Neodiprion lecontei: one gene and its partners. The protein of the gene in region 1 purifies or fractionates together with the protein of each later gene. This does not show direct contact. Links are inferred from orthologs where the notes say so. Each region holds a gene or a part of one and is shown in the gene's direction. Other genes may lie near its edges. The genes, in order: probable ATP-dependent RNA helicase DDX23, CD2 antigen cytoplasmic tail-binding protein 2 homolog, U4/U6.U5 tri-snRNP-associated protein 1 and U5 small nuclear ribonucleoprotein 40 kDa protein.

Region 1 (8,608 bases):
GAGGTGACTGAGAAGCTGATATGGGCCTGGTTATTTCTGTAGGCACGACAAATATGTCGTTTCTGTTCGTGTAAGGCGTGCTGCAAGACATCGACCTAGAGAACGGTTTCTGGGAGGTACGGGATCTGGAGACATTCGATTGAACGTTACTCCGCGAACGAGGAACGGGTGTGTTTCTAGGAGAGACAAAGGGACTTCCATTGGCGGAGTTGGGCTTGGAAGCACGTCCGTTGATCGGGGATAAAGGACCAGGGGAAATTGGGGTGAAGTTGAATATCCTCCGGCGCGTGTTTGGACTTTGAGGGACCGTCGAAACCTGACTGCTATGATCTTGGAAGTGCTCCACCACGTTCGTTTCAAAACTTACTCGACGCCTGGTACCCGATTGGCTCGGATAGTTGAGGAGCGAAGACAATATTGCGTTGGGTTTGGACGCGATGCCAGCCTTTTCCAATGCCAAGTTTATTCCTGGACTAAGAACGGTGACGGGATCTTCCGCTGTTGAATGTCCAGTCGCGTTTACTTTCAAATTTTGCTGGAGGATTAATCGTAACTGGGATACTTTGTCGGATCTTGATACAAGATCGACATCTGTCGATAAGCTGTTCACTTCTGTGTCAGAGCTGGAGGAGCTGCTCTGTTGAAAATACTGTAAAAGCTCTTCTTCCTGCTCTTGAGAGTTATTTCCTCCGTTTAAATAGTCGTCCAGAGCGTCGGAGTCAAGGGTGCAGGTTTTGCTCGTTTTATTCGTAGTTTTGGAACTCTCTTGCGATTGCTGAGGCTGTTTGTTAGCTATTGTCGAGACGTCGGTTATATCAGAGACATTCTGGCAACCGTTCAGCTTGGCGCAATTGTTAGACCGATTAGAAGATTGGATATCACAGTTTTCCTCAGGCTGATTAAAAGTGGCCTGTATCACTTTGAATTTTGTCAATTTTACGCTGTTTGCAGACACTGCCGATTTTCTACCACCAGTCCTCTGAATCGACGCAAGTCTTGGCAGCGGGTTGTTATTCACCGTTTGTACGGTATCCGGTGAGTTTAATAATTTTGGCTGTTTTTCTACAACTGATTCAGATTTCATAGATCCTACGTTCAAATTGGCACGCTTCCGAGGATTTCTTATTTTAGGGTCTTTAGACGATATTGCTGTACTAGTAACAACCGCCTTCGTCTCGTTGTTACGAGACGCGACTTCGCTCGTTTTTACCACTATATTATCACAGTTAGATTGCAGGGAGATGCTGTTGCACGCGTAGTTGTTGCTAGTTGATTTAAGAACCTTTTTGTGCCGACTCGTCGTTACAACAGATAAATTACACTTGGTTGGTATGGTTCGCACCGCTAACGGACCTCCTCCTGTACCTTGTAATGACTGACTCGCTTTATTCTTCTTGCTGCCCTTTCCCCCCCCTCCCTTAATATCTACAGTCTTCTCTTTGTTCTGATTCTGAAATACAGTTGAAAATTATTTTTGCTATCGGCAAAACACTTGCACTAAACTTAGACATATCAACATTCGGAATTATTTCTTGCATTGTCGAGGTCGGAAAATTAGTGGATAGCATTATTATCAGTTCACATTACCTGCGTAATTGCGTCATGATTACGAAGTTTTTGCTCCCTTATATGCTCACGGAGCTGCAATTTGCGTTGTAGCTGCAACTGGGCTTCCCTAAGTTTTCCCGGTTTTTCACTGCTCAGTATTGTTGGTGATGGTGACGGAGCTTCTATCAAATTGAAACGAGTTTACATGAATTTGTAAAATTGGGATTTCTGATGCTTTCTTGCTTCAAATGTGTTTCAAAGAAGAGAACGCTATTCGCGATGCTTAAACGACATTAGGATCGCTAGATAGTTCTTGACTAACCTTTGTTACCTACAGTCTGGGGATCTGAGGCAGCGCACAAAATGCATACCGCGGCCAGTGACCGTGTGTCTACGCAAAGATTGTTCACCAAATGCCGAGCTAAAGCACTGAGCGAAGGGAACTTCAAGCCAAGTAAACTTTCCGCCCATTCCCTTATCAGCGTTGAAGCAGCACCGAGCATCTCTTCAGTGATCTCATCTTCCTCGTCGATCTATGTGAAACACATGGGTGGTGTTAGTGAACTTTGAAGACGGTAGAACTAATACATATGAAATTGCGACTAATACGGTGATTCTGGGACGCTTTCTGTAATGTTATACTTTTGTTTTTTTTTTTTTTTTTTTAAAAGTAAAACATTGTCCAAATCTGTGTCTATAATATGTAGCTAATTCACCGGTTGTTCTCCGGTTATAGGAGGCAGCATCGGCGGATCCAGTTTAATCTTCTTCCTCATTCCTGCGTAACAGTAGCGAGAGTTACCGCGTGTTCCGAGGCGCCGCGGCCTAACTCGGGGGTAAACTTGTTTCATCACTTTTCCAAAGTCAGCAGTGGACAGAGGCTTCATAGAATTCTTTATGCAGAACATGCTAAAATAAGAGGTAGTGCGGATCAGTTTATTTCAGCTTATTCTTTGTATTTACCAGTACTTTGAATAAAAATTAGGGCTTAACTGCACTCCAAAACATATTCAACTAAGGACCCACTTGTACTCGTCGTAAACTTCTTGCTTAGGTAAAGAGACGTCTGGATCTTCTTCAAGATGAGTTTTTATCCACATTATGGTCTGGTGAATTTCATAGCGGTTTCCTAGAGGATTTAAAGGCTGTCTCAAAGGATCCACGTTCTCACCAGACTTGGTCAACGAAGCTGGTAATTTCAAGTACAACAGGAGCTTTTCTTCTATCCGCAATTGTTCTACTTGTAAGTAAATTCCTTGTACTCTACATTTCGAGTCGTCACTGTTGAATAGATAAAGGAGTAAGTTTTTTGCTAACACATGCAACACAACAAATAATTTTTCCAATGCATTATATACATATACCTATACATATATCACTGAATACTGTACATAATTGTATACATAAAGTTGCTTCATGAATCGCGATTTTTTTTTCACAGTAAGAGTTAATTAAAAAAGTAAATAATATAGGTTAAAAATATTATAAAAATGCGTTTCACGGGTCAAAATATTGATAAGTGATATGAAAATCGTCTGTAAGAGGAGAACGTAATGACAGTGGGCAATGATAAAATTATTCAATTGAGTAAATAATCTGCTGTAACAAATCGAAATTTGTCAAAGAATCGGGATTAGGGTGAACAAAAGATGGAAATACCGATTGATCGATAAAGCAAGATTATGCCGGGAAATGCATAAGTATATGTACATACACCGCCAAACAGCGTTGATAAAAATTACGGAAAATATAAGTGACACCGGCATAAGTGGGGAGTGAATGAAAAGAAATATTTGAAATGTTCGAATGAAACTGACCTGATGGCATCTTCTAGCATTTGTTTAATTTTATCATGTTTATCGACGGGACTGGGGGCGATGCTTGTCATTTTCCCGGCGAGAATATCTTTGACGAGTTCACCGGCTTGATGAGGACCATTGTTAACGCACAAGGACGATGTATTGTTGTAGCTGAATATTCTGTTCTGTTGAGAGCCACTACTGTCACCGATCGGCGGCTGCCCCCCATTGTCACTGTAAACGTCAGGTCTTTCTCGTTTTATTTTCTTACTGCCGATCAAGCTATCATCTATTATATTTACAGATTTCGAGCTTTTTAATGCCGGCTGTTGTACTTGACCATGGCTATCAACGTTCATTGTTCCTTACGCGGCAATATATACAATTTGATCACCTCTCGTTAACCGAGAATGCCCTACCATTTTGTCACAGTCAGCTGCGATTTACTGCTAACTTTAACCCGTGATCGTTCGTTTCCTCCACCCGAGAGGAGACTCGCCTCTGGATAACCGTCCATTCTCGCATACCGCTCTATGCAACATTTTGTGCTCTATGGATATATTTCGATAGGTAAACGTAATCCTTAGAGCGTATACTACTCTAAAATCGGATTCGACTTCTTTCTACAATTTTTTATTCTGTGTTCCAGGACGTCGAGAAAACGTTGTTCCATTTATTCGTTGAATAGGTTAAATATTAATTATACAGTTTCACGATGGACTAAAGAAAGTTGTTTCATGCGCGATAACTGTCTCTGTTGACTCGAACCTAAGGAACAAGGTATTTTTTTCAAAAATTCTTCACGATTCAAAGTAAAATTAATGCGTATCTGCACAGCCAAGCGGCAATGGTGACAGTAGACAGATTATGAAGAATTCTCTTCTTTTCACTTGTTGAGCAAATATACATGTAAAACAAACTCGGCCAACGATAATATTGTCTTCGTTATTGTGTTTTAAAATTCTCTCAGGGTTACTTCTCTGCCATGGTTCACGAGAAAAAACCTGTCAGGCGGAGTAGATCCAGAGAAAGGGATAGAGAACGCGAGAGAGAACGTGAGCGACGAGAAACGAGGGAGCGACGGAGATCGAGAAGCCGATCCAAGGATCGGAAGAAGGACAGGAAGCGTTCAAAGTCTCGAGAACGTTCACGCGAGCGAGACAGATCTCGGGAGAGAGATTTAGACAGAACGAGAGAACGAGAGCGGTCCAGGGAGAGAGAGAAGTCGAGGGAACGTAAAGATGGTAAGGATCGAGGTAAAGATGAGAAAAAACATAAACTCAGTCCAATGTTTTCTGTGGAAGATGATGCTAGAAGGGAGAGCAGAAGTGATGTTAAAAAAAGTGACGATGAAACAGAGGAAAAACCAAAGTTGCCCGCCAAGGCTGAGCCCCTCAGCTTGGAGGAATTGCTGGCAAAAAAAAAGGCTGCAGAAGAAGCAAGAGCTAAGCCCAAGTTTTTGAGTAAAGAAGAACGTGCTGCACTAGCTCTGAAAAAAAGACAGGAGGAAGTTGATTCCATCAGGAAACGACAGGAAGAAGAAAGGAAAAATGCTTTTAAAAATGATGGGCCTAGCACTGGCAAAGACAGGGACCGTGAATGGGATGATCGAGACAAGTAAAAAGAGCTTCAGAGTTGTTTTATTTCGGTAGATGGTGAATTGCATTAAACTGAGTTATGTTACGATATTCAGTATGATTTCTAATATAAATAATTTTCAGGCGTAGAGAGGCAGCGCGATCCAGAGACGACGAGGTCAAAGACAAAGACAAAGAAAAGGAGGTAGAGGCAATCAAAGAACGCTACTTGGGATTAATTAAAAAGAAGCGTAGAGTGAGAAGGTTAAACGATCGAAAGTTTGTGTTTGATTGGGACATTTCCGAGGATACTTCGGTGGATTATAATAACATATACAAGGAACGACACCAGGTGCAATTTTTTGGTCGTGGAAATCTTGCTGGAATTGATATAAAGGCACAGAAGCGAGATCAAAGTAAATTCTATGGTGAATTGTTGGAAAAAAGACGTACTGATGCTGAAAAGGAACAAGAAAAGTAAGATGCTAGTGGTATTATACTTATAGAACTTACAAAGTAGTTAATTTTTTTAATATAAAAATGAATAATTCACTTATTTGCCCCCATTAAGAATGCGGCTGAAGAAAGTTAAGAAGAAGGAAGAGAAACAAAAATGGGATGATCGTCACTGGTCTGAGAAATCAATTGAGGAAATGACAGAGAGAGATTGGCGAATATTTCGTGAAGACTATAATATAACAATAAAAGGTGGCCGCATTCCTGATCCCATACGATCTTGGAAAGAGTCTGGTTTTCCTAAAGAAATTTTGGATATTATTGATAAAGTTGGCTATAAAGACCTAACGCCAATTCAAAGACAGGCTATTCCTATTGGGCTACAAAATCGAGACATTATTGGTGTTGCGGAAACTGGTTCTGGTAAAACGTTGGCTTTCCTAATTCCCCTGCTCCTTTGGATTACAAGCCTTCCGAAAATTGAGAGACTTGAAGAAGCCGACCAAGGACCTTACAGCATAATTCTAGCCCCGACTCGGTGAGTTAAACAAAAGAGCAAATGATATTTTTCAACAATACTTTTTGATGATAAATATTTTTGCACGGCAAGTTAAGTGGATTGATGACTGTTGTTACATTATTCGTGAATATGATTCAACTTGTATCAATCCCATAGTGAATTGGCCCAGCAGATTGAAGAGGAAACTAACAAATTTGGACAACCCCTTGGCATCAGGGTTGTTGTTGTTGTTGGTGGTCTATCAAGAGAAGAGCAAGGGTTCAGATTACGAATGGGTTGTGAGGTACGATGAAATAAGACATTTGCGCGTTTATGCAAATGAAAGTTAATTTTTAACTTATAATTAACTCATTTTTTGATATTAAACTGTTTCAGATAGTCATCGCTACCCCTGGTAGATTGATAGATGTCCTGGAGAATCGATATTTGGTTTTGAATCAGTGCACATATATTGTTCTCGACGAAGCTGATAGAATGATAGACATGGGATTTGAACCAGGTGAGCAACACTTTGCTCTTCTTAGCTCTCAGAGAAATATAAAACACATACTTACCTTGCCTTCTTTGTCCCGCTCAGACGTTCAAAAGATCCTGGAATACATGCCGGTGACAAATTTGAAACCAGACAACGAAGATGCTGAGAATGAAGAAAAATTGTTGGCCAATTACAATACTAAGAAAAAATACCGACAGGTGGGTGGCGAATATCTTTTAAGTCCCTTCCTATGATAATAAATAGAATCTGTTTTCTGGATTTTTATTTGTCATGGAAAAAAAATAGTACATCACAAAAATTTTAATTTTTCAGACTGTGATGTTCACGGCTACAATGCCCGCAGCTGTTGAACGACTTGCCAGAACATATCTCAGGAGACCTGCTGTCGTCTATATCGGCAGCGTTGGAAAACCAACGGAAAGAACAGAGCAAATAGTTCATATAATGGGAGAGGCAGACAAGAGAAGAAAGCTAATGGAAATACTGAGCCGTGGTGTCGAGCCGCCTGTTATTATATTCGTAAACCAAAAGAAGGGTGCCGACGTTTTGGCAAGAGGACTTGAGAAACTTGGGGTAAGACTCTGGAAACTCATACTACATGTGTAAGGAAAATTGTCCAATAGAATGCTTTCATTATTAAATATTTTTTATTCACAGTACAATGCCTGCACTTTGCATGGTGGCAAAGGTCAGGAACAAAGAGAATACGCCCTCGCATCTCTCAAAGGTGGTAGCAAGGATATTTTGGTTGCCACGGATGTTGCTGGTCGTGGTATCGACATCAAAGATGTATCAATGGTTATAAATTACGACATGGCTAAAACTATCGAAGGTAAATTATTCTGGAATTTTAAATCCTTCCGATGAGAATTCCAAAATTTTAACATCGTTAATGGCTTCTCATTTTTTCATCAGATTACACTCATCGTATCGGTAGAACCGGACGTGCGGGAAAAGCCGGTCTTGCTATATCTTTCTGCACAAAGGACGACAGCCACTTGTTCTACGATTTAAAACAGACTATTCTGGGCAGTCCTATCTCTACGTGCCCACCGGAATTACTCAACCATCCCGACGCCCAGCATAAGCCTGGTACTGTGGTCACCAAGAAGAGGCGGGAAGAGAAGATATTTGCATAAATGTATTGCGTTTCCTTCTTTAATGTTTACAATTCGATTCAATCTTTTACATGTGATTGAGTCCGTCGATAATATTTTACAATAAATTTCATGTGTACATTTGCAATAGATATAATGTATGTGATATATATGTAGATATTTCGGCGTATTCGTTTGAAGTTATATTGGTTCACGAGACTAGTTTCCATACGTCATGCTCCGTATTCCAATTATATCCATAAAAAGTGATTAAACAAATTTGAATTTTTCCGCGTATCAACCGCCATCAAGTTAAAAAAAAGTTGCCCAACTACAATAAAGCTACATACCCATTGGTTGAACCCATTTTTTAAATCTCTTCGCCGTGAATCCGGTAGGTAATTAACAATTTGCTAGCGATCAATCGACGGCATGCAACGGACAAGCATCCTTGACCAGAAACAAGCTCGATGCATTTCTGATTCTATATTTATCCCTTCTAAAAATCTCGGCGCTAAAATCCAACTCCTCCCTCCAATATGCAACAATGGCAAACATACGATACTCATCCTTCGATCGTTACGAATGGAGAATAATTTTAAAGTTCATGAACGGGCGTAATACTGTAAAAAAAAAAGAAAGAAATTGTTGTCACAGAGCCAACGGCCTGTTTTTCTGTGGTTCTTTTTTTGGCATACATACGTTCACACGAATTAAATAATATATAGATATAACCTGACTAGGATTACGTAGCCTTCAGGAAATAACCTGGAGGGGGGCAGAAGCGTCCTAAATATAAATTGTACGAACGGAAAATATTGTTGTTCGCGACAATCGTGAAACGTGCATTTTGGAGGGGGAAGGCTTTTCGTTATACTCCGCGATACTCTGGTGCGAGTGAATTTCTCAACGCGTGCGCGGTGCGGTACCAAGTGCTAACAATTTCGATATACATTATAGGTATAGTGCAAAGAAGCCGGAGGTAGTTGGTTAGCCATTCATTTGATGGTCTAGAGCCGACTCAACAGTTCCGCGACATCAGGACGAGCGTAACAAATATTATAATCCTAACGCCACACTCGTGCCACCAGTCGCAGAAAATCCTACATCCTTGG
Region 2 (9,113 bases), on another chromosome or scaffold:
AGTTGAAAAAACCTATGTTTTTTTGTCACAATTTCAGAAGACCTATCTCAAAAATGATTACATAATCATAAGAATCAAACTTTTTTATGCCAAAAGCACAGTAGGTCGTATTTTTTCTCGACAACAGGCAGTGCTGAAAATTCAAAGACGAAGGTTCAATTTGAAATTGTGGAATTCATTTGTTTTTACCATTTGACTTGAGTCCTACAGCTTTTTCAAATGAAAGGTAAAAGAGAGGTGTGGAATGTTTAAATAAATCCGATTTTCAACTCCTAACCATTGGCTACTACTTGTAGAATCAAGTTACTGTTTATGATAAATGCCATCGAAAATATAACGCAGAATGTAGATTGATAGTTACCCACGTATACAATCAGTTTAATATTTTTGTCCCAAATTTTTATTCATATTGCACAAATGCGTGCACGTGCCATGTTGCAGATATCCCTCTTTTACAGCATCTGGGTTAGAAGTTGTGTACAAAGATGCAACTTCCAATTATACAATATTACGTTATCTGGTCGATATTAAATTTTAACCAACTTATGGAATCTACTAAATGATATATCTAACATTTATTGAATTTATATTTTCATCTTCACGTTCATTTACCCAATTGAGAATCTGTGTTAATTCCATTTCCCCAAAGGATGTTTCCATCTTTCGAGTCAACGGCAAAGACCGTAAACCCATAACCAGATTCGATATCTATCACTCGATGCTGTTCTGCAAATCGAAGTCTGTTCGGTTTGTGATAAAATAAGAACTTCTTGCGCTTCGCGATCGGCGGTTGAAGTCCCAAGGCTCCATGACCAGCAAGGCCCCAAACGTACACCCTGCGGTCGCTACTCTGACTTACTGGATATTGAAATACTGCAATGCAAAATTACAGAAAAATTTTCAGCATTATTTATATTAAGACATTAGATGTCTAAGAAATATTTTTTTTGCTCCCACCTGAAAAACTAGAAACATCCTTTTGTGAAAATAATTTATTATAAGTTGTATGTATCAGATAGGGGCAAAAAAAACTTACTCTCGAAGAAACCACTACAATTTGTGTACTACAAATGGTCCGAATTTTAACATTACGCAGAGTTTATTAGAACAATTAAATGACTGCGATAAAGATATGCTAAAGCGACGTGAAAGAGATTGGAGTGAATTTAGCCTGCATTGTGTAATGGCAAGATTTTCGGGAATTCTCATGTCTTATTTCTGTTTACACAGTACAATACGAAACAACTTGTTAATAACGCAGTCAGTACCAATCACTCTTAGAGGATTGATATCATGTAACGTAAAATTCAGGGTACTTTTTAAGTGTCATCGGTGTTATTTTCGTGAAATCGAAGTAACTCCAGTGGAGTCACTGTATCAGGCAAATACACATCGCCAATGTTGTTATTCATTATGTCACATTTGTTTACGGTAAAAAATCCCTAGAGTGATCGTTACCTGGCAATTCGTTTGGTGGTGGGTTTGGAGATTTTGTATTCGTTGCTGTCAATTTTTGGCGGACTTTTGGAGAAGATAATTTTGAATAATTTCTGACTAGCTTAAACATTATTTAAACTTTTGTAGCAATATTTGAAACGTGCCGTACTAATTATGGCATAGTTGAGTAAGCGACTGTTTTGCACGGTTGTCTGTTGTTTGAGGTTAGAGTTTCATCTGCGGTAACACCGGTAACACTTAATCACGGAGCAGTCGGCAGGAGACGACACTGAAGCACCGTTCGGCTCAAACGTTGGACTAGTTTTGCGGCAACGTAACTTGTATGAGGAATAGTCACGTTGCGATTGAAGCGCCTCTTGCGGGGTAAGCCCGTATAGCGCTCTCCCCCCCCCCCCCCGCCCCGTCCGGTATCTTATAATTCGCCGTTTGCCACCTTTTCTTCAGATTCAAATGTCAGTTGGAAAAGTAATTACTCAGTTTTCATTCACTTCAAATGCGTATTTTACGAATTTACGGAGTATGTTTGTAGCACGGATGTTCACAGGTTACGATCGCCACCCTTCACTTTTTACATTTTCCTATATTTTAGGCATTTTGATTGGTTACCTCTGAACCATGATCCGTGCCGCGGTGCCTAACCTTAGAGCATATAGACATAGAGGATGCATCGACGCTAAAGAAAGGTCCCCGAGCCAGTGAGCGAGAGAGATGTCGTAATGCTACATGCGCTCTCTTTCTACAGCAAGAGCGTACCTATCGTAATTGAGTGCCTCGAGCATTGCGTTGAAATAATCCAGATTATATAAATACATATTATACATTGGTGCCTGGTAGGTCAGGTTATTGAAACAAACAGTCAATAATATCAATGTTTAGCATATTTTTAAATGCAACGATACAATTTATAAATGTGGAATGGGCATTTTCGCCGAAGTCTGATAGAAACGCGACGATTCAACGGCTTGATTTAGTAACAGGTACATTTGGGGACAATAAGACCGTGTAGACGGCTAATTTTTTAAACTTGACAGTTATGTTGGCAACACAGAGAACCCTTGCAGCGCCATTACTACTTCTCTCTCTATACCATTTTACGCTTGCACGAAAGGGTATACTAGACTTCCTCCATAAAATGTGAATTCACCCTAAGGAGATAGCCAATTCGGACGGTCTTGCGCTCAAGGGTGCGTTCCGAAATTAGCTCTCAGCGCTAAAAACTCGGTAGCGCAAAAGAGATAAAAGATTGTTGACGCACTGGGAGTAAATTATCGAAACGCATCCAAGCTGTATGCTGCACGTGAAAAACCAGCGTATATCTGGCAGTCGTTGTCGGACTACGTGATTCTTAGTTAATGAAAGAATGTTGTGGGTGTTTGGAATTTTTTTCGTTTACTCACTTCACATGATTCAGAAGTTGTAATATTGTGCGAGAGATGGTCAACAATAAGTATAGATGAACAATTCAACAATATCCGTTCTTCTGCGTGACTGAACGTCCGGATGAAAACATTGTCACCATCATAACACGCTTGAACATTATTCTTATATCATCCACCACTATCTCATAGTTGAAACTAACCGCATCAAAGCAATTGACAACTTTGCAAAGTCTTATGATTTATTGAATAACATCAATCGTTAGGAAAACTTTGAAAGAATAACATGTCTAAGCGTAAGCTCGAGGATGTACTGAGTGAAGACTGGAAGGATAGTAGGGCGAAAACAGAACCGACCGTCAAGAATTCTTTAGACTCTGATGAGGAGGACGAAGAAGCCAATGAGGATAATTACAATGTCATGAATGAGGATGACTTTGAAGGTGCGCAACATTGCCATTAGTTTACGAATCGCATCCAATAATTCTATTTAGTTTAATAGTTCAATAGACTTTAATGTTAAGGAATATCCTAGAATAGGATTCAAAAATATGATACAAATGATGATAAATTGTGTCTGAATTCCTCTCTATAATATGCGAGATTAAAGTTAGTAACTTTAATGCAATGAAAAGTTAGAAAAAAAAAACAAATATAGCAACTTTGAAACAACTTTGAATGAGTCAAGTTTACAAAACACGAGCTTCACACTGGCGTCGTTAAGGTTTATATAATTTGGAGCAATGCTAATGTTGTAATTCAACAAAGTTTCTTACAAAATGCATCGTCACAATAATGTGATGAACTTCAAATTTGTAATATTTGTTTAGAATCTTTTGATGAATGTTCTGATCAAAGTCTTTCAGCAGGGCCACTTTTCCAGTTTTTCTCTCATATTGTCTATTTCATTCAAATTAAGTAGTAATAATAATTATATACGATTCTTTTCTAAATCTTTGAAATTCGTGTTCACTTGAAATCTTTTATTATAAAGGAACGGAAGACGATCCCGTAGCAGCAGAGACAGATGTAGGCTTCACAGCATTCAATATGAAGGAGGAATTGGAAGAGGGACACTTTGATAAGGATGGTCATTACCTCTGGAACAAGGAAAAGCAGATCAGAGACAATTGGCTTGACAACATTGACTGGGTTCAGGTTGTTAACACTGCTCAAAAATCAAATTCCGCTACTAATGTATTTATTTTGTTAAAAATACTCTATTCTACTCGACTATTATACAATGAGATTTTTACGAAAATATCTTAAGTTGGAAAATTAATACAAGTTTCGAATTCATTAATTTTTTAGAAAATTCGTAATCTTACAACGGAACTTTTGAAACTGTGAACTGTAATAAAGCTAGTTGTACTCGTATTTTGCAATGATTCTAAATTTTTTAATGTTATTAACTTCAATCTTATGCAAAATTTAAGTTTTATGTTTGGCTTTGTTACGGTTCATCAAATTTCAGACAATGTTAATGGTGCGAAATACCGATATCGAAAATAGTGACAAACTATAGCATCATGGAAACTCTTCTTTTTATTTGTGACTGCAAAATCAAAAACTTTATAAGGGAAATAGAAAGCCAAAAATGAAACGGATCTTTCAATTATACTTTCATAGTTCTGTGTGAAACGCATAATCATGGCAATAATAACAACAACTAGTTTGTTAATAATGTAAGCTCTGATAATAATAAAAATAAAAACAATAATGCCTAAATTGGGTTACAGATTAAATCTGGGGGACGCGAAGGTACAAGCAATAAAACAAGTGACAAAATCAAAGGATTGGCGGACAGCGATAGCGAGGATGATGAACAAGAAGTAATGTTTGACAGCGTGCCATTGTACAAAAAAATTCTCGAGTATTTGCGTCCTGGGGAAACTGTATCAAAAGCACTTCGCAGACTAGGTAAAAACTAATTGATCAGCGTTTGATAATATAATTTTTTGCATTCAAGGGTTTATTGAATATTGTTTTGACAAATTTTTTTTAGTGTTTCTAGTAAAATCATTGTGGGATAAAACAAACCCCCCCCCCCCAAATCTCTCCACCCACCTAATAAAATGAATTAAAATGATAAACTAACTCGATGGACAAAAGAGCTTAGCTTTTTTGCAGTAGGTATGACCAGGTGATAGTACTTCCAGCCCTCTACAACTTAGTTTAGTTCGTTAGATGTTTAAAGAGAGAAGACAGTGTAGCGATGGCCACTAAGCTAAATATAATCGATGTATCGATTAATCGAGTCCAAAAAAATAATTGAATAAGGCTCGATGGAATCGGTAAAAATTAATCGATTAATCGATTATCTCGAAGTTTGCTGAAACGGTGTATGTGAAACCAAAATTCCGTAAATTTCAGTATATAGTCTTATAGCTATAATAGCGGAAAAGTTTTTTCAGAACTTATAGTTTCATTAAAAATATTTTTCAATTTAAGGTGAAAATATTCATTTATTTTTCACCTATTATATCAAATAGGTACCTACTAAGTAAGACAATGATAATAATTCATACTTTAATCAGATAAATTAATATCATATTGCATCATTCATGGAAGTAAAAAACAAAAACTGATTGTGAGGATAAATAACTGAGTTGGTCGCTAATCAAGTTTGCGATGATACTTGATAATCGGGATACAACAATCGATTTAATACACAATCAATTATTTTTGGTCATTTTTAAGACGGTGGCAAATTGTCATGCTAGACAAATGTCGGAAGTAGTGAACAATATTGAGGAGGAAAAGGAAACGCATGAAAAAAAATTATTTAAACAAACAAGTAAATTACTTCACAATGTATTATGTCTAAATAAGTAGCAGTAAATTATAATGAATTGAAAGTGAAAAGTCACGTATCAAATTCGAGAAAAATTTGTAGAGAATTCAAAGCTTATGGATTTCTTCGAAGTACGGCCCACCATCGTTTTCTAATCAAAAGTAGAGAAGTATTCAAACAAATTGTGTCGCATCCCCGTCGAATAGTTGGATTTTATTTCCAAATTATAATACAAATTGATTTCACCTATTTTTCGGATTCACAAGATATATACCTGGTTGTTGTCAAAGTTTTGATTCAACACATTTCATGATAACAAATACAGTAGGCATTTCTCGTTATGATTTTACCTAAAAGTTGCTGTTTTGATGCAACTGACAGTTCTTCGTGCAGTATATTCACCTATGATTTTCCATGATATTTAGGCAAAGGAAACAAAAGAATGACCACTGCAGAACGATGGAAAAAGAAAAAAGAAGCACAAGCCGGTATAGAAACTAATGAAAATGCTGAAAAAATAACACAGTTAACAGAGTTTGCAAACGAACTTTTGACACGGACCGGTAACATGGATATATACGAGGAAAGTTATGAACAAATTAAAAAAAAGGTATGCACTGTTTTTATAAGTATCCTCAGTAAGTTTGATTACTTAACATGTAACTGTATTTATTGCATTGAGAAAACACTGCATGTAAGCCATTCTATACCATCTTGACTTTTTAACGTATTACATTCTTTAGCACAAAATAATTATACCATTTGGATCTCTAACTAAAACATTTGCCGTCGCAAAAACCGATGTATTCATCATTTTGACGAATTGCAACAGGGAAACAATATAGAAACCCCTAAAAGTTGACAAAAATTAATTAAAAAGTTAGTATCCTAAATTTCCCAAAAACCATGTTTCTTTTCTACTGAAAATTCCAAAGAACACTCGATTTGGTCTAAGAAAATATGTGTAATTTTCGTCATGGGTTCAGATTTAGTTTGAAAGTTATGAATTTTTTTTTTTCCTTCATAATTATAAAAAGTATTGTATCACGTTATGTTGTCATCAAGTCATACGAAACAGCTCTGAAATATAGGTATTAAATTATTATATTGAACATTTTTATTATATACTATATACGTAATATTTATATTACAATAATCATAATTTATACAGATAATAGTAGTAATAAAAGTAAGTTCAAACTAATTTCAACTCCATGCTGAACTTTGCACTTGTTTATTTACACTACATAGGAGTATCCTTCGAAATTTAAATGGGTGTCAGGTTTCGAGAAATGCAAGAAACTTATGTTCATTTTACCAAGTTTTGTAAACTTGTAGGGTTTTTCATATTTTTTTTGCATGTTATAATTTTCAAATTCATTCAAAACAGCTTGTTATTTTCTTCAGAATTCTGTCGATCGCTGGTCGAATTGGTATGAAATGCTTGATTTGTACAAGACACATGTGTGAAGTTAGACTCGAAATTGTTCTTATCCCCATTGAGTTTTTGGAGTAAAATTCAATACTCATCCTCGCGACGTACGTTTTCGTAATTTATATAATTTTTTGGGACACTGCAGATTGAGACGAGTGGGAAACAGGCTCATCCATCGAAACAGGAAGCGGAATTGGATATGTACTCCGACGATTTTGATGTTAAAGAAAAAGCCAAGCTTGACGAAAATGCAGCTCCTGGTGGTAAGTTCTCATTGAGTTATGTGTAACAGTGCCAATTATTACATTTATTCAATATAAGTAAATATCGAAAATCGATCCTAAACGAGAATATCAAAATGCTAGACATAGATTCAATATTTATAAATTATTTAAAGTAATTCTCAGTTAATTTAATTCGATTGTTTTACAATTACCGTTGAATTAACTGCATTTGCAAGCTCATTTCAATTTGAAGATAGAATAGTGTAATATACACTAATTGTGAGCAAGTATTTGAGGTCATGCATCTTTCTGTGGCAAGATTTGTAAACCTTTGGGCGGTAATTAGGCGTAAATTATAAGTATAATATTCCAACAGGTATTTTTTACCTCACGATACGAAATTTTGTTTTCATTTCAAACAGATCTGATGAAAGTATAATTGTATTATGATATTCCACGTTTCTTTAAGGAAAAAAAATTACCCCTGAGAATTGTTCTATTCGAGACAACATCAGAATTAAGATTTCAAAAAGTATTCCTGAAAATTAGTATGTAAATTATAGACGAGGTTGAAGTTAATAACGTTAATGTAACGAATCATTTAAACAAAAATCAGTTTTTGATAATTATAGAATAGTTTTGGGGGATTTAGATTTTCAAAAAAAGACTATGTATTACTTTATCGTGGTTTGATGAAATTCGTATAATCCTTAAATTCGGAATACCTAGCATTTTTTTTCCAATTTGTATTGCTACATTAACTTTACGAACTTCCACCCCATAATTACAGATTCTAATGAATGATTATTTTTGAAGATTCGTCGGCGATGGAAGTTGAGAAATCAAAAGCGAGTTCGACAGAAGTTAAGCAGGATCTTGAAGAAGACATGGTAACATGGGAGCTGAAGTGGTCGCAGAATGAAACAGCTGAGGTTCACGGACCTCACTCAACGGAGCAAATGCAAGCTTGGTCCAAGGAGGGATATTTTAAATCTGGTGCTTGGGTACGACGAACTGGTCAACAAGGGCAATTTTACAGTGCAGCGAGGGTCGACTTTGAATTATATTTATAGTATGGAACGCTTGTGACTTGATAAGTGAAGTATAATTTGCAGGGAAGTAGAAAGAGAAAATAAAAAAACGATTTACCTAATGCTGCTTTTGATATTATTCAGAATCCGATAAATATGAAGTGATATGAAATGTACGCATATCGTACGATATCCATTTACGGCATTGTTAACTAAACAACATTTTTTTCTGTTTCAAATCGCCAGCAGTGTTTGTTGAATTTTTTATCCCATAATTATTCGCAATTTAAAAATAAGCTAAATACGTGGTTTACGCAAGTGATACTGTGCTTCGGTTATTAATAGAATAAAAATTTAAACTTAAAAAATTGACAGACAGTACATATTAAAACGCAAGATATCTGCCAATATCTCTGCAATTGAACAGATTATTATTTCTGCTTATACATTTTCTTTCACTGTCACAGAAAAGCTTAGCATTATCATGTAAATTTTTCGAATCAGAAGAAAAAAACATCAAAAACAGTAAAAACTATCCAATCTTGATTTCCAGTTGAAAAAAATCTGTGTATTTAACTTAAAAAATTCTGAGTGAACTCGTCCGAAATTGTTGGTTGTAACTTCGAACACCGTTTGTGCTGCCACAAAAGTTCGTGAAATCTAAATTGAAATTTTATACCTAAAATATTTTAAGCAGATTATATATAGGCAGATTATGTAACATTAGAAAACTTAAAAAAATGTAGTAAAGTAAGGTATTACCATTTCGAAAGTTGCTAACTAGTTGCTTAAGGC
Region 3 (9,117 bases), on another chromosome or scaffold:
TTGACGAATAACAAAGTTTTCAAGTTTCACAGCGCCTTTGCGCGTGGACTTGATACTTTTCAGTTGTCACAGAAAGCGCGGCATTTGATAACCGGCGCTCATCGCGCAGAAACGAAAATATCGATAGTGTATACTAATAGTGGAGAATCTTGACGTGAGCATTTATGAAATATATCTGAAATGTACTTCTGTTTACTCGTTTAACGGATCGTATTATTTTCTGTTTCAGGGCAAAAAAACTAATTTTTTAACAAATACACCGAGAACTATAGAATGATCAGTCGAAAAAGATATTCACTGTGATAACTGAAAGTAGAAAGAGATGTCGATTTAAAAAATTTAGAATGTTTTTTATTCATCAATAAAATTAATGATCGAAGCAACAAATATTAACATGAATATCACGTTGGATCGACCCATTTTTTGTCAGTGTATAAACTTATGTGATTGTGCTAACCATATCTTCATCTGTTTCAGCTAATCAAATCTTTTGTCTATTTCAGCTAACTAAACTTTTTGTCTATTTCAGCTAATCAAACTTTTTGTTTGTTTCAGTTAACAAACCTTTTGTCTGTTTCAGCTAATCAAACCTTTTGTCTGTTTTAGATAATCCAATTTTCTGTATCTTTCAGAAAATCAAACCTTTTGTCTATTTCAGCTAATCAAACTTTTTGTCCGTTTCAGCTAAGCAAACATTTTGTCCGTTTCAGCTAATCAAACGTTTTGTCTATTACAGCCAATCAAACCTTTTGTCTGTTTCAGCTAATCAAACTTTCTGTCTCTTTCAGCTAATCAAATGTTTTGTCTGTTTCAGCTAATCAAACCTTTTGCCTGTTTTAGCTAATCAAATTTTCCGTCTTTCAGCTGATCAAACTTTTGTCTCTTTCAGCTAATGAAACCTTTTGTTTGTTTCAGCTAATGAAACCTTTTGTCTGTTTCAGCTAATCAACCTTTCTGTCTCTTTCAGCAAATCAAACTTTTTGTCTATTTCAGCTAATCAAACTTTTTTCCTATTTCAGCTAATCAAACCTTTTGTCTATTTCAGCTAATCAAACCTTTTGTCCGTTTCAGCTAATCAAACTTTCTGTCTCTTTCAGCTAATCAAATGTTTTGTCTGTTTCAGATAATCAGACTTTCTGTCTCTTTCAGCTAATCAAACTTTTGTCGGGTTCAGTTAATCAAACCTTTTGTCTGTTTCGACTAATTAAACTGTCCTTTTTTCGTTAATTCTATTTTAATCTGTTCTAGGTAACTGAGTTTTATTGATACAAAAATAAGATACAAACAATCGCCCTTCATCCATAATTAAAACAACCATCTTTCATCCATAATTAAAACAGTCATCTTTCATCCATAATAAATAGTTAACGGGTCATATGAACTGAAAAGTTTCGAACAAACTGCAAACATATGCGAGTACCAATTGATTGGGAAAATCATTTAACCGTAATTAACGTATGAAAAAAGTAATTTGAAATTTTTCGAAGAACGTAAGATCGATCTTGCAAGTATTCTCCGTGGAGTAGGCCTACTGGGGATACCACGTAAAAAAAAAACGCGCCGGGTGCTCTACCGCTTGCGGTGGTGTGGAAACGAGCATAAGTGAACTCATTTTCACTCGTCAAATACTAAGATATTATAGTTTTTCAAATGAAAATTTTATCTTGTGTTAATTTAACTCATTGTCAATAAAACTCGTGCTTCGATAATGTGTAACGCGTGTGGAATCGTAATACTTTCGGATTTCTCTAGTTTAGTCAGAGTACTAACCGGGTACTAAAAATAACAAAAAGAACTATATTCACATTTTGTATGTTCGAGATACGGGTGATCTGTCTAAAAGCCCCATTGTAAAAGATGGAATGCAGAGTAAGAAATTAACTCCCGTCTTCGCTTTTGGATGTGTATTGTAGAAAATTATTTAAAAATTTTTATGACAAATTTGTATACCCGCTTGATTTCTAGACCACTTAACTGAATCTACTGTTAAATATTTTTTTCAACAAATTATTACATTCACATATATAAAAAGAAAGGCATCTTAGACTCAATTAAAAAGAACAAGAGAAATGTTTTGTCACATTATACATATAAATTTATTTAAAGGAAGTGATTCGTCAAGAACGCAATTCACAAATCAGTTGGAATAAAAAATATGACTTATTGAGTGGGAAAAATTTTTGATATGTCAGCTGCATCTTCTTTTGGAATAAAGATATGAGCCTTGACTGAAGATACATATTATTATCTTCAGTTAAACGTATAAGTCAAGTATTAAAAATATGTACAGAAATTACATAAGGTACATATAGGAACAAATATATATCTCCATCCTTTGATTAACTTCTTCGACTATATCTCCCATCCTTCGCATCAAGAAAAGGTTTCTAACTTTGTTAACAGTAAATCAGGTGCATGTTTATTGTGCGCCTATTTAGATGACATCAATTTTGTCGATCCGATGGAGTTAAATTGACATTGCCGAATTTGGCCTAAATGAATTTGCGTAGTTGAAAAGTATACGGCGTCCATACGGAGTTATATGAAAATATCAGTTTGTTCCCGTTCGTCATTCCATAGGTATAAGAATATTTCACTGCATTATCTGCGTACACGCGGTGAGCGATGGTAACATCAGTTCGTTTCGCCGCTACTTATCAACCGCTTGCCAGATTGAGTCGCGCGTGTAGGCGGGAAAACTTAAAACTAGCTACTCGCCTTCTACATGCTCTAAGGTCACCTTGGCCAGCCACTGATTTTACGAACACATCAGTGGAACACGTAATTTCTGTTGTATGTATCTCATGATCACGGAGTAGTTCGTGATCGTGATAAAGTCTATTCAACACAAGACGAAGTTCGACGTTCAGTTAAATTTATAGGTTAAAGTGTTAAGATTAAAGAAATGGGATCTAATAAGCGGCACAAGACTGAAAAAACTCGTGAAACTAAGAAAAAACGTCATCGCAGCCGTTCTAGATCGCACTCTATAGAACGTGAAAAAGTCGACAAACATAGGCATCACAAAAAACATAAAAGAAGAGAACGCAAGGATCACGACAGCGATGGTACTAACCTCTTTTAGTTTTTTCCTTCGTAAACGTAACTATTATCCTACACCTTTAAAGGTAACAAACCTTCACCAAAACACCTACACATGCATAGATTTAAAACTGATTGTTCAAAGCTACCCTAAAACCGTAATAGTTCTCATATATTTTTTACAATGTAATGTTCGTGCTATGTACTTCAGAGGACTACTAATCCAAGTCTATTAGTAAAAATTATTGCGCTATTGAGTTGAATTAGCGCTTACTTTTATATTGTATAGTTGCAAATTTAATGTACATTTATACTACTTAATAATATCGTGTATTAAGAAACTATCCTCTTGTGTTTATAGTTGAAATTGTCAGCGCTCCACCACCTCCAAAAATATCGAGAATACCACATGCACTGACGCCACCACCTCCTCCAGAAATATCTCGTCAAAGGAGTGCATCTCCAACCAAAGGAGGAGCAGCGCAGACATCATTGTCAGTTGAAGAAACAAATAAGTTACGAGCAAAGCTTGGTCTAAAACCTTTAGAGACCAGTACTACCTCTGTAGATGATCCTAACAAAATCAAAGATGATTTAGGAGAATTTTATCACAAGCCAGCACCAAATACTAGCGATAAAGTAAAAACGCAAAAGATCAAAGATAGACTGAACACGCAGAAGGAAAAACGACAGATTGAATCCAATCTTTCAAAACTCAAAACTTTGGGCGAAAGCGATTCAGATGATGACGCCAAGGCTTGGGTGCAAAAAAACCGTCTCCTTCAGTTGGAGAAAAAGAAGGCTGATGAAAGGGTAAATACAGAATACTTGACCTAAAGCTTAAAGGCATTATTTCAATTTATGCCAGCACCGTCAAGTTTAAAATTAAAATACTTATGAAATAATGCTGTAATAATTAATTTGCATTTGATGTTATTAGTATTTTATGTTATATTTTTAAATAATCTTAATGCTTGAAGTAGAGCCAACCACTCTTGTATTATATTAATAATGTGTATTTGAAAACTTTCATGTAAGAAAGTCAAGCACGATCATCTATCCATTTAAAGACTATTTCTAATTTCATTATTCAGGCAAAAATGTTGGATCAGTTGGACGAAGAGTTCGGTATAGGTACTCTTGTTGAGGAAGAGGTTCAAAGTGAACGTCGTTCAGCCTACTCGAACAAAGATTTACGAGGGCTCAAAGTCGAACATGACATGGTAAGTTTGATATATTCTGTCGAATTGAAAAATCTTTACTGTAATTAGGATTTATTATGGGTTTCAAATGTAGCAGTTGTAAATTTAATATAGTCATGTTCCATGAAATATTGCATTTATTTTGTTAATAACATGTAATGATTAAATCGAAATTTAATTATTTTTGTTACAGGATACTTTTGAGGAGGGCAAGACCCTTGTACTGACACTCAAAGATCAGGCAGTTTTAGATGAGCATGAAGATGTACTAGTAAACGTAAATATGCTGGACGAAGAGCGTTATTCGCGCAGTAATTTGAATAAAACTAAAAAACCTGGGTACGATGCGTATGATGAAGACAATTTTGATGAGTTTGGATTCCCAGTGAAAACGGTTCTAGACAAATATGATGAAGAGATAGATGGACAGAAGAAGGAAAGTTTTGCCATTGGTTATGATAATGCTAAAGAACGAAAACAACGACAAACTGAAATTGTAAAACACCGCCTAGCGAACAAAAAATTGGAAACACTAAGGATGCCAGAGCTACAGTTAGCTAGTGAATATTACACTGATGCAGAGTTGGCAAAGTTTAAGAAACCCAAGAAAAAAGTAAGATAGTATTCAACGTCTAAACCTTTTGTCGCAACTTATTCTAACAATTTAGTCAGTTCTATATAATTTTTCGTTTTAAAATCATGGTAAATAGGAAAAAATAGATCATGTGACTTGATACTGAAATAAAGCAATAGATTAATGGAACTTAATATAAAAATAAAATTATCTGAACATTTTATTTAGTGTTTAGAGTATGGTTTATATTAATTGCAACTTTTAGATCCGAAAAATCAGACAGAAAAAGATGTTGAAGGCAGACGATCTTGTTCCTGATACAACTGATTATCTCAGAGATTTAGGAAGTCGAAGGAATTCAAGACATAAAGAAAAAAAGGATCATGAGGATCCTGAAAATCTTGTTATGGATGTCGATGATACAGAAAGTAAATTTATTTTTCAACAATATAATCCCTACTTCCTTTAATTTAATTTACATCAATTACATTTTCCTTGGAATTTAGATACAAGTGAAGACTTGTCGGGTGTTAAAATTGAAGATGATGACAGAGAACTCGAATGGCAGTTGGCATTGAAAAAAGCACAACGTGTGAAACTAGCACGTCAAACTGGGGTAGAAAAAGTTGCTCAAACAATAAAACAAGAAATTGACAATTCAAATGACAATCAAGTTGGTAATATTGTACTCAATGCGACTGCTGAATTTTGTAGAACATTAGGAGACATTCCAACTTACGGGCTTGCTGGAAACAGGGAAGAAAATGTTCAAGAACTCATGGTAACGTGTTTCTAGTAATTATTTATCTACTCAAAATCTTTCAATGCATAACAAGTATTGCAACAGTTCATCATGTTGATCAGGACTTTGAGGCTGAGGGGATCAAAGATGAAACGGTAGATGATGGAGAAGATGCTGATGGCCGTGGAGCTTGGAATACAGTAAAAATAGGTAAAAATGCATTTACTTGACTAACGTTCTACTTCCTTTCCTGATAATTGTTTAATTATGAACTATCTTTATGCCTTATCAGTATTTCAATAAAATCTCAAAATTTACCCATACCTCAAAGATGAAGCTGCAGCTGAGCCAATAACACTGGAGGCTGCAATTTTGGATGCAGAACCATCGCTTGGACAGGGTGTAGGCGGTGCTCTAAGACTTGCAATGAGTAAAGGTTATTTACAAAAAGAGGATACTAACAGACCTTCTGCATCCCGTTTTGCTCATTTACAGGCACAAAATTATTCTATTGAAGATAAAACTTATGGGTAAGTACTATATTTGATATTATAATACATTCGAATTTTCTCAAAGATAAAAAAATAAAACAATAATCATTATTTTAAACCAATATACTATTATTTTCAGTTTTTTTTCTTTTCTTTGTACACTTTTACCCATTTAATTTGTTTTGAATGTAACTGTTTTCAGAAGATTCTGATCAATTAATTATTTTATAAATGCAGGGATGATGACAAGTTTGGCAGAAGAGATAGGTTTAATGGACCAACTTCCGAATTCAAAGAACGAGACGGATTTAAGCCCAATGTCAAGTTGGAATATATCGACGATGATGGACACGTTTTGAGTGCCAAGGAAGCATTCCGATATCTTTCTCATAAATTTCATGGTAAAGGTCCTGGGAAGAACAAGGTATATTGAAAAATATTTTAATCTATTTATGTAGAACAATGCATGCTAATGATATTAAGCTTTATAAATTTATAATAGGAAATGTCAATTCAGAATTTCATTTATAATAGTTACTATTTTGTAGCGCTGCAATAAATCTGCTATTTACCCGATTTTGAATGCAATGCGTAATATAATTATATATGTATATTCTGATCATTGATGAATCAATGATAATTTCATGCCATGAATTGTTAATACTTTTTATAACTAGGTGGAAAAGAGAATGAAGAAATCTGAGCAAGAAGTATTGATGAAGCGGATGTCTTCTACTGATACTCCACTAGGTACACTTAATCTATTGCAAGCTAAGCAAAAAGAAACACAATCTCCATACATTGTGCTGAGTGGCAGCAAGCAGTTGCAAACGTAAGTTTTACACAATATGCTATTCATGGGAAATAACTTGGTTAATACAATTTTATATTGCGTGAAAAGTTTCGGTACATTCCAATAGTTGATGTGTGATAGAAAATTCTTCCTCCAATAACTTGGTGTAGGTAATAATTTCAATGCATCATATTATGATATGTTGTGCACAAAGATACTCACTTAGAATCTGAAGGCATGGATAAACTGGTGGTAATGTGCTCATATAACGATTTTCAGGACGAGCATATCAAAGACGAAGCATTAAAATTATCAATTAAAAGATGGAAAATCAAGATGTACATTATTATACATAATGTAATATTAAATCTCTGATAAGGTTTGCGTAAGGGTGAGTGTTCTAAAGCTCAGTTCTCAGGTATCTTTAGAATATTACATAAATCAGCAGATCCTATTAAAAAAATTTTGATCATCTTTATAATACAAAACCCGTTTTTATCCTTGTATTATTTACAATTTCATATGTTTAAATGTGTGTATAATTCCATTGTTTAGACGCTTACAATTACCTTTAACACCGTAATGAGGTGTCACAATATCATGATACAATTATTAAAGTTCATAAATTAATTTCGGTAGATAATGAGTTCTCTACCGAAACTAGGAGAATTTATTGTTTGCATTACAGTGTCAAATCAATTATTCAATTGAAACCGTAATAATTTATTCTTAGGAAATAAGAAATTTGAAAAGTATGAACTGGAATCTTCTAAATAATGAAAACTGATTCACTATAGCAATACAAATATTCGAAGCATAAACTGATGATTAGGAAATTTTGAGAGAAAATGTACGAAGAAGTAAACTAAAACAAATAGTAAAAGTGTAAAAAAAAGAATAATAAAATTAGTGACCCAAAATTTAGGATGTTCATTTACTTTTTGGTCGCAAAATTTATACTTCAACTCTATGTCCAAAAATTCCGCCTCGTGGAAAAAGTGATATCTTCCGAAAATCGTATATTCTGTTTGCTACACATATATCAGAAATGCTTGAATTTTAAGTATATATTAATAAATGTCATTTAAAACAATTTAGGTGCAAGGAATTTTAGTTATTACTTTGCAGATTACAAGCAATCAATAGACCTGATCACCTTCATTTTATTTCACTTTGCATGCATGTATATGTAAAACTCGAATGAAACCTTTTTCAATAATAAATAAACGACTTACCTGAATACATAGTTGATTTTACACATGCCGACGTTGAAATTTATCGTTAACTTGGACTTTCATCCGACTTTGTATGTCATTACCAGACTCTCGAATTATGTTATTAAGAAAATTATACATTGAATCACAGTGAAGAATACAACGTTTTGATTAATGTTCACATTTATTAAAACTATAACAAATACTTATAAAGGTTTCTTACTAGCTACACTGCATTGTATGATTGATTGTAGCCTTCTACATAAAATCGTTACCCTAGTTGTTATCACTATTTACACGAGATATGTTTGCAAAAACTTCGGAGTATAAAAAAGTCGGACTTTTCGGGATGGGAAATATCTGAATGTTATTTTTGCATATGTAAAACCGTCACATATATCTAATGTAGATAGTGATTAGCAATGGATCTACAAAATTTATGCTAATGAATAACAATTATGAAGCATACGTTCATTAATGTTAGCATTAAAGCTTTATTTGTGCATCTCGATCGATTATACGCATTTGTGATTCAAAAGCTATTCAAAACGGATGTCTGCAGTTACAGACACGTTCATTTTGCCTAAAAATGTAAAAGATTATACAAACTGGTCTAGGGATTTGGTAGAAGCGGTTTTTATAATTTGGTTTGAAAAAAAAAAGCTAAAAGTAAAATTGGGTTTCTTATGTTTCAAAGTCCATTTGTGTGTATACACTGGCATTGTTCATTAGTTGGTTGATTATTAGCTATAAAAAAATCATTGGCACTCAAAATTTACAGAGCACAGTTCAGATGTTGAGTTGTAATAAGATTGTGCAGTATAGAATTCCACTTCACAGTCTGTGTTATTGTCGTGTCGGTCATAAATCTTCCTTATCCTCTCATAGTGGCACATATTGTAGGATATTGGCAAAAACTGCACATCTCAAATGATCACAAACAACTTTTTCAATAGTTAGCAAAATTCTATGTTCTTCACAGATTTTATAACAGCATACAGAAAATTATCACGTATTTGAATCCCATTGATTGACTCCAATTTTATGGTGAACTTCATC
Region 4 (5,189 bases), on another chromosome or scaffold:
CGTCTGTTGGCGCGCCAACTTCAGCACCTGCAGCTGGAGGTGTATACACAGATATTCCAGTGTCAAATATCCGAGGGGTAATAGCAAAACGATTGCTTGAAAGCAAACAGAATATTCCACACTATTATTTGACAGTTGACATTAAGATGGACGCTGCCTTACAAATGAGGGAACAATTCAACAAAATGTTAGAAAAAGAGCAAGTGAAACTTAGCGTAAATGACATCATCATCAAAGGCATCGCAATGGCTTCGAAAAAAGTTCCTGATGGCAACACTGCTTGGCTTGGGGATGTCATTAGACAGTGAGTTCTCATAATGATATGAAAAGTAATTTATAATTGAACGGGAGTGATCGCAGAATGAAATAAGTAGTGTTTCGTACCAATTGTATACCAAAACAATGAATTTCCTAACCTAGGCATCTCAACTAAATTAATATTACATTTTCTTTTCCTCCTCTTCAGGTATCACAATGTGGATGTAAGCGTCGCTGTAAGTACAGACAATGGTCTTATCACTCCGATTGTATTCGCAGCTGACACAAAGGGTATTGTACAAATCAGCAAAGAAGTGAAAGCGTTGGCAGCAAAGGCGAGAGATGGGAAGCTACAGCCTAACGAATTCCAAGGTGGAACGATTACTGTATCAAACTTAGGAATGTTCGGTATTAAAACCTTCTCCGCAATCATAAATCCACCACAGTCCATCATTCTGGCTGTTGGTACGACCGAATCTCGATTGATTCCAGCGAAAAACGAAAAAGGGTAAACTAAGAAATCTCCTAATAGTACCTAAACTAGTCTTATTAGACTTATTTTCAGTTAATCGAGCACTTTTTTCCATCATATTGTTACTGTTCAAATTTCACAGATTCGAAACTGCAAACTTCATGAGCGTTACAGCCAGCTGTGATCATCGCACTGTGGATGGAGCGGTTGGAGCTCAATGGCTCACAGCATTCAAAAGTTTCATGGAAAATCCAACGACGATGCTCCTATAAAGAATCAATGTGCTGAGAAATTACACTCATCAATTCTACAAGCCTACTTTAGATCATCCCTAAGAGCCATCATGGGGTATGCGACAAGTGGATTGTCCTGTGTACATTTTTTGTGGATAATAACATTTAATTGATTTTGCGGATCACTTAAGTAGCACCAATTTTATAACATAATTTTCCAGCTTGCAACACTGTAGATTACTTTGCGTGTAAAATAAGTTTGCTTCGCGATAAGTATATACCTATGTTACATACGTATGTATGTACTATTCCGTAGATTTGAAAATGTACAAAAGAATACACAAACTGAGTTATATTTGCCGTCGTTAAATGTACTCGTTCAACTGTTGAACGCATCTACGAACGTATGTATAGCGCGATAAAAATGTTATTTCCTATTATTTATATAGATCAAATCAGTTTAGTATCCTCAGGTAACTGATACAGAATAAACATGTACATACTTGATGTTGCCAATCTTTTCGTCCTCTTAATACGGTAAATGTTGGCACTGCGATGATAATGTTTAAAACATTAAAATCTAAATAGATGAAAATTAATGCTACTGTGCAAAGTAAATAGATATTTAAGTAATCTAAGTATTTAATAAATTATACAATATCAATACTTGCCTTATTTTTTACTTGTTCAACTACTAATATCGTCCTGATGTCAGCGATTCATAACAAAAACAATCGTGTGTACCAATCATCGGTGCGTCACATAGAAAAACAACGGAAGACCTCGCATCAGTAAGTAAAGCACAACCCATACTGACCGGCTGTTGCACAGATGTCAGCGTACCACCCAATTCGCAATCACAAAACGCTAGTGTCTTTTTACTTTGGGATGATATACGCACAGTTCGGCTGCTCGCTGGTTTGTTGTTTGTGAACAGACATTTGACAATTTTACAATAACAATGCCAATCTTAGACAAGAGAAAAGGTGATGAGATTCTAGCATTGGTGCCAGCTTCGAAAAGGACGAAAAATGAAGTGGTTTTCAGCAGTAGAGAAAAGGCGGTGATCCAAAGTGTAAATATAACCTCACTTATATTTCTCTGAGAGACGAATTGAGACACTTTTATTACTTGGAACTAAATCGGATAATTCTTATCACAGGGCCCTCCCAGAACTTCATCACTTATGGCGCCGATTATGCTCCTTGAAGGACACCAAGGAGATATTTTCTCTGTTGAGTTTCATCCGGAGGGTCAATACCTCGCATCGACGGGTTTTGACAGACAAATATGTGAGTAAATACTATGCAACATGTTTCAATATTGCATGTCGGATAAACTCTAATATATATTCAATTATTATATTATAAAACTGCCCCATGATAACAGTTATATGGAACGTCTATGGCGAATGTGAGAACATTGCTGTAATGTCGGGCCATAGCGGCGCAGTGATGGAAATGCACTTCAGCCCAGATGGCAGTAACTTGTACACTGCAAGCACAGATATGACCCTGGGACTCTGGGATCTCGGATCTGGATACAGAATAAAGAAACTCAAAGGACACACATCGTTTGTTAATTCTATATCCGGAGCTCGGAGAGGACCTACACAACTTTGTTCTGGCAGTGATGATAGCACTATTCGTGTCTGGGATCCAAGAAAAAGGGGCCAGTGTCAGACTCTTAATAATACCTACCAGGTATGCATTGTGTCTTGTATATCAGATAAGACGTGGATACGGTTTTATCAATGAATTTTAAATCAGTCAGAAATTCATCAGATGGATCACAGAAGCTAAAAGCTCTTCCAATCAAATGCCAAGTATAGAAAGAAATCGATAACCCAAATATTAGTGATATTTCCATCGAACCTACAGTAGTTTTATAGAGTTTTAGATACATAATAATCGTGATTTATCCACACATTGAGTTTAGAGTGCCATCTCAGGAGTAGAGACAGACAACATTCATTACTGTTGCTATAGATCGATTACACAAATAATATGCATAAAACCATTTGTACAATGTTCTTAAATTTTTACTTTCTCTCCTTACTCTGATCTGTATACGTCTCAGAGTTATTTTTACTTTTGTATGTATAGGTAACTGCTGTGACATTCAATGATACAGCGGAACAAGTCATCAGCGGGGGTATTGACAACGACATTAAAGTTTGGGACTTACGAAAAAACGCAGTGCTCTATAGATTGAAGGGTCACACAGATACGGTTACTGGTTTGAGCCTGAGTCCAGATGGTTCTTACATATTATCGAATTCAATGGACAACACCCTTAAAATATGGGACGTCCGTCCTTTTGGACCCTATGAAAGATGTGTAAAAATTTTATCCGGCCATCAGCATAATTTCGAGAAGGTGAAGTTAAACCACATAGCATTTTTTCATTTTCTTTTTATGCAATTGTCCAATTTTCGTAATGTTGATTGAACAATGCTTTGCAGAACCTTCTGAGGTGTGCATGGTCACCAGATGGCAGCAAAGTGTCTTCAGGATCGTCAGATAGATTTCACTATATCTGGGACACGACAAGCCGACGTATCCTTTACAAGCTCCCTGGTCATAATGGATCAATTAACGATGTTGATTTTCATCCAAAAGAACCAATCGGTAAGTAAAAGCAATTCATCTTGTGCAGGCGGGAGTCTAATATAATTCTCATGTTTCAGTTGTTTCCGGCTCCAGTGACAAACAGATATACCTTGGAGAAATTGAAGGCTGAATACTGCCCTTGAGATTCTAAACATTACTTTTAAGGAGATACGATATGATTTTCCAAACTTCATTGTCAATAAATCAGTACCTTGTATTTCAATTATGACGTTTTTTTCTTTCTAGCTGTTCTAAAACACCGAATCTCACCATATTAACACGTTCAAAACTATTTCATCTGTCCGGAAATTTATGAGTAAAAGATTTTTGTAATACCTCAAATCATGAGAAAAAAATCCAGATTCACTGCAAGGATTAAATACAAAGGCTAAGATTTTCCCGGATATTTCTGTGCCGAAGATGCTCTTCCGTATTTCATCCGGCGAATGAGCATCGTAAAATACGTTCCCACCCACAAGATATTCTGTTTCTACGACAATGACATGTTTGACGTTTGAAAACCGTGGCGCTGGACCTGCCACCTGTGAGGCCTATCCGCGTATTGTTGGAAGCCATTACCAGTGTCAACGCAATAAAAACTTAGTTCACTCCTTGGTTAAAAATCAGTAAGACTACTTGTTCAAATTGTAATATTCGAATTTATTTTGAGGTAAGATTACTTTAACGTAATACAGGATTGTACTCTGTCATAAATAGTATGTAGAAATATGCATAGATCAATTCACCCTCGACAAGGTCTTTCCAACGTATTCTTACAGTATGTATATGTACAATTATGGCGCAATCGATTGACGACTGAATAACATTTTCGAATTGCGTTTGTGTAAGTTAACGCCAACAAAATCACAGTCCACTGATACATCGTTTTGTGTTTCAGTTTATATTATTAATATTTATATCTAATTATAAATTTAAATTATTATCATCAAGATGTCATCACCGTGGGGTAAAATTCAACCACCCGCGACAGCAGTCAGTCTTACTGAAATAATGTCAGAGGAAGTGGCTAAAGACTTACAAGAAAAGTAAATAGTTATCTACTGTTCAAGTTTCCTGATGCCATTACGAGTTCTGCGTTACATTTAGTGTTTTTCCTTACACAAGTTTGATATTTATTATTTTTCAGAGAAATCCGTAAACACGCAGACCTGGTAATGCCAGAACCAACACCAGAAGAGTGCGGATTATTAGAGCTCGATGACACGGATAGTGATGCAGTGATTGCACAAACGTTGCAAGCTCAGTTCAATCGAGAATATGACTCAATGCTTAAACGTACTGAAGATAAATTCAATGGCTTTTCCAAAGGTGCGTTAAACAATGCAAGACTGTTGAAGCTCGCGATAAATACGTTTTACTTCTCTTTCCCATCGTAGTTAATGTTTCCTATTCAAATTATCGAACGTGTCCATCTGTCGAACCTGATGAACGTAAGCCTGAAGTAGACGAGGAAAATAGAGACTGGGATAGATTTGTGGTGAATATCTGAATATTTAAACAATGTACTGTAAAAACAGCCATCCTTATGTGAGAGAAAATTATAAATACCATTACGATATTTTCAGAGCGTGGAAAAAGAGTACGCTTCCATTC

What was found.
Region 2: the proteins of probable ATP-dependent RNA helicase DDX23 (region 1) and CD2 antigen cytoplasmic tail-binding protein 2 homolog purify together in Homo sapiens (affinity purification with mass spectrometry; 6 studies listed by BioGRID and IntAct, counting the BioPlex papers as one, with this or other methods). This does not show direct contact. The link is inferred for Neodiprion lecontei from reciprocal best matches to the Homo sapiens genes DDX23 and CD2BP2.
Region 3: the proteins of probable ATP-dependent RNA helicase DDX23 (region 1) and U4/U6.U5 tri-snRNP-associated protein 1 purify together in Homo sapiens (affinity purification with mass spectrometry; 3 studies listed by BioGRID and IntAct, counting the BioPlex papers as one, with this or other methods). This does not show direct contact. The link is inferred for Neodiprion lecontei from reciprocal best matches to the Homo sapiens genes DDX23 and SART1.
Region 4: the proteins of probable ATP-dependent RNA helicase DDX23 (region 1) and U5 small nuclear ribonucleoprotein 40 kDa protein purify together in Homo sapiens (affinity purification with mass spectrometry; 3 studies listed by BioGRID and IntAct, counting the BioPlex papers as one, with this or other methods). This does not show direct contact. The link is inferred for Neodiprion lecontei from reciprocal best matches to the Homo sapiens genes DDX23 and SNRNP40.

What each region holds. Positions count from the first base shown.
Region 1 is NC_060263.1:14,775,932-14,784,539, forward strand, and holds probable ATP-dependent RNA helicase DDX23, read left to right. Parts: upstream 1-2,829; intron 2,830-3,365; coding exon of another isoform or gene 3,366-3,706; exon of another isoform or gene 3,707-3,809; intron 3,810-3,965; exon of another isoform or gene 3,966-4,127; intron 4,128-4,317; 5' UTR 4,318-4,332; coding exon 4,333-4,964; intron 4,965-5,068; coding exon 5,069-5,401; intron 5,402-5,495; coding exon 5,496-5,918; intron 5,919-6,056; coding exon 6,057-6,183; intron 6,184-6,275; coding exon 6,276-6,399; intron 6,400-6,477; coding exon 6,478-6,593; intron 6,594-6,708; coding exon 6,709-6,969; intron 6,970-7,053; coding exon 7,054-7,228; intron 7,229-7,311; coding exon 7,312-7,535; 3' UTR 7,536-7,645; downstream 7,646-8,608. Other genes in the region: uncharacterized protein LOC107221402, read right to left, coding at 1-1,450, 1,588-1,730, 1,871-2,081, 2,265-2,457, 2,575-2,829, 3,366-3,706. UniProt on the Homo sapiens protein: Involved in pre-mRNA splicing and its phosphorylated form (by SRPK2) is required for spliceosomal B complex formation.
Region 2 is NC_060264.1:18,405,434-18,414,546, reverse strand, and holds CD2 antigen cytoplasmic tail-binding protein 2 homolog, read left to right. Parts: upstream 1-2,564; 5' UTR 2,565-3,120; coding exon 3,121-3,277; intron 3,278-3,828; coding exon 3,829-3,992; intron 3,993-4,573; coding exon 4,574-4,754; intron 4,755-6,053; coding exon 6,054-6,238; intron 6,239-7,208; coding exon 7,209-7,326; intron 7,327-8,103; coding exon 8,104-8,360; 3' UTR 8,361-8,440; downstream 8,441-9,113. Other genes in the region: RCC1-like G exchanging factor-like protein, read right to left, coding at 613-873, 1,459-1,567. UniProt on the Homo sapiens protein: Involved in pre-mRNA splicing as component of the U5 snRNP complex that is involved in spliceosome assembly.
Region 3 is NC_060262.1:28,400,065-28,409,181, reverse strand, and holds U4/U6.U5 tri-snRNP-associated protein 1, read left to right. Parts: upstream 1-2,819; 5' UTR 2,820-2,905; coding exon 2,906-3,068; intron 3,069-3,403; coding exon 3,404-3,855; intron 3,856-4,136; coding exon 4,137-4,265; intron 4,266-4,437; coding exon 4,438-4,857; intron 4,858-5,083; coding exon 5,084-5,246; intron 5,247-5,324; coding exon 5,325-5,599; intron 5,600-5,682; coding exon 5,683-5,770; intron 5,771-5,891; coding exon 5,892-6,090; intron 6,091-6,288; coding exon 6,289-6,475; intron 6,476-6,728; coding exon 6,729-6,883; intron 6,884-7,123; coding exon 7,124-7,151; 3' UTR 7,152-8,960; downstream 8,961-9,117. UniProt on the Homo sapiens protein: Plays a role in mRNA splicing as a component of the U4/U6-U5 tri-snRNP, one of the building blocks of the spliceosome. May also bind to DNA.
Region 4 is NC_060260.1:29,794,467-29,799,655, forward strand, and holds U5 small nuclear ribonucleoprotein 40 kDa protein, read left to right. Parts: upstream 1-1,808; 5' UTR 1,809-1,924; coding exon 1,925-2,038; intron 2,039-2,125; coding exon 2,126-2,255; intron 2,256-2,352; coding exon 2,353-2,666; intron 2,667-3,068; coding exon 3,069-3,341; intron 3,342-3,427; coding exon 3,428-3,593; intron 3,594-3,652; coding exon 3,653-3,705; 3' UTR 3,706-3,798; downstream 3,799-5,189. Other genes in the region: dihydrolipoyllysine-residue acetyltransferase component of pyruvate dehydrogenase complex, mitochondrial, read left to right, coding at 1-304, 467-766, 873-1,002; serine/threonine-protein kinase RIO3, read left to right, coding at 4,527-4,621, 4,723-4,904, 4,973-5,073, 5,162-5,189. UniProt on the Homo sapiens protein: Required for pre-mRNA splicing as component of the activated spliceosome. Component of the U5 small nuclear ribonucleoprotein (snRNP) complex and the U4/U6-U5 tri-snRNP complex, building blocks of the spliceosome.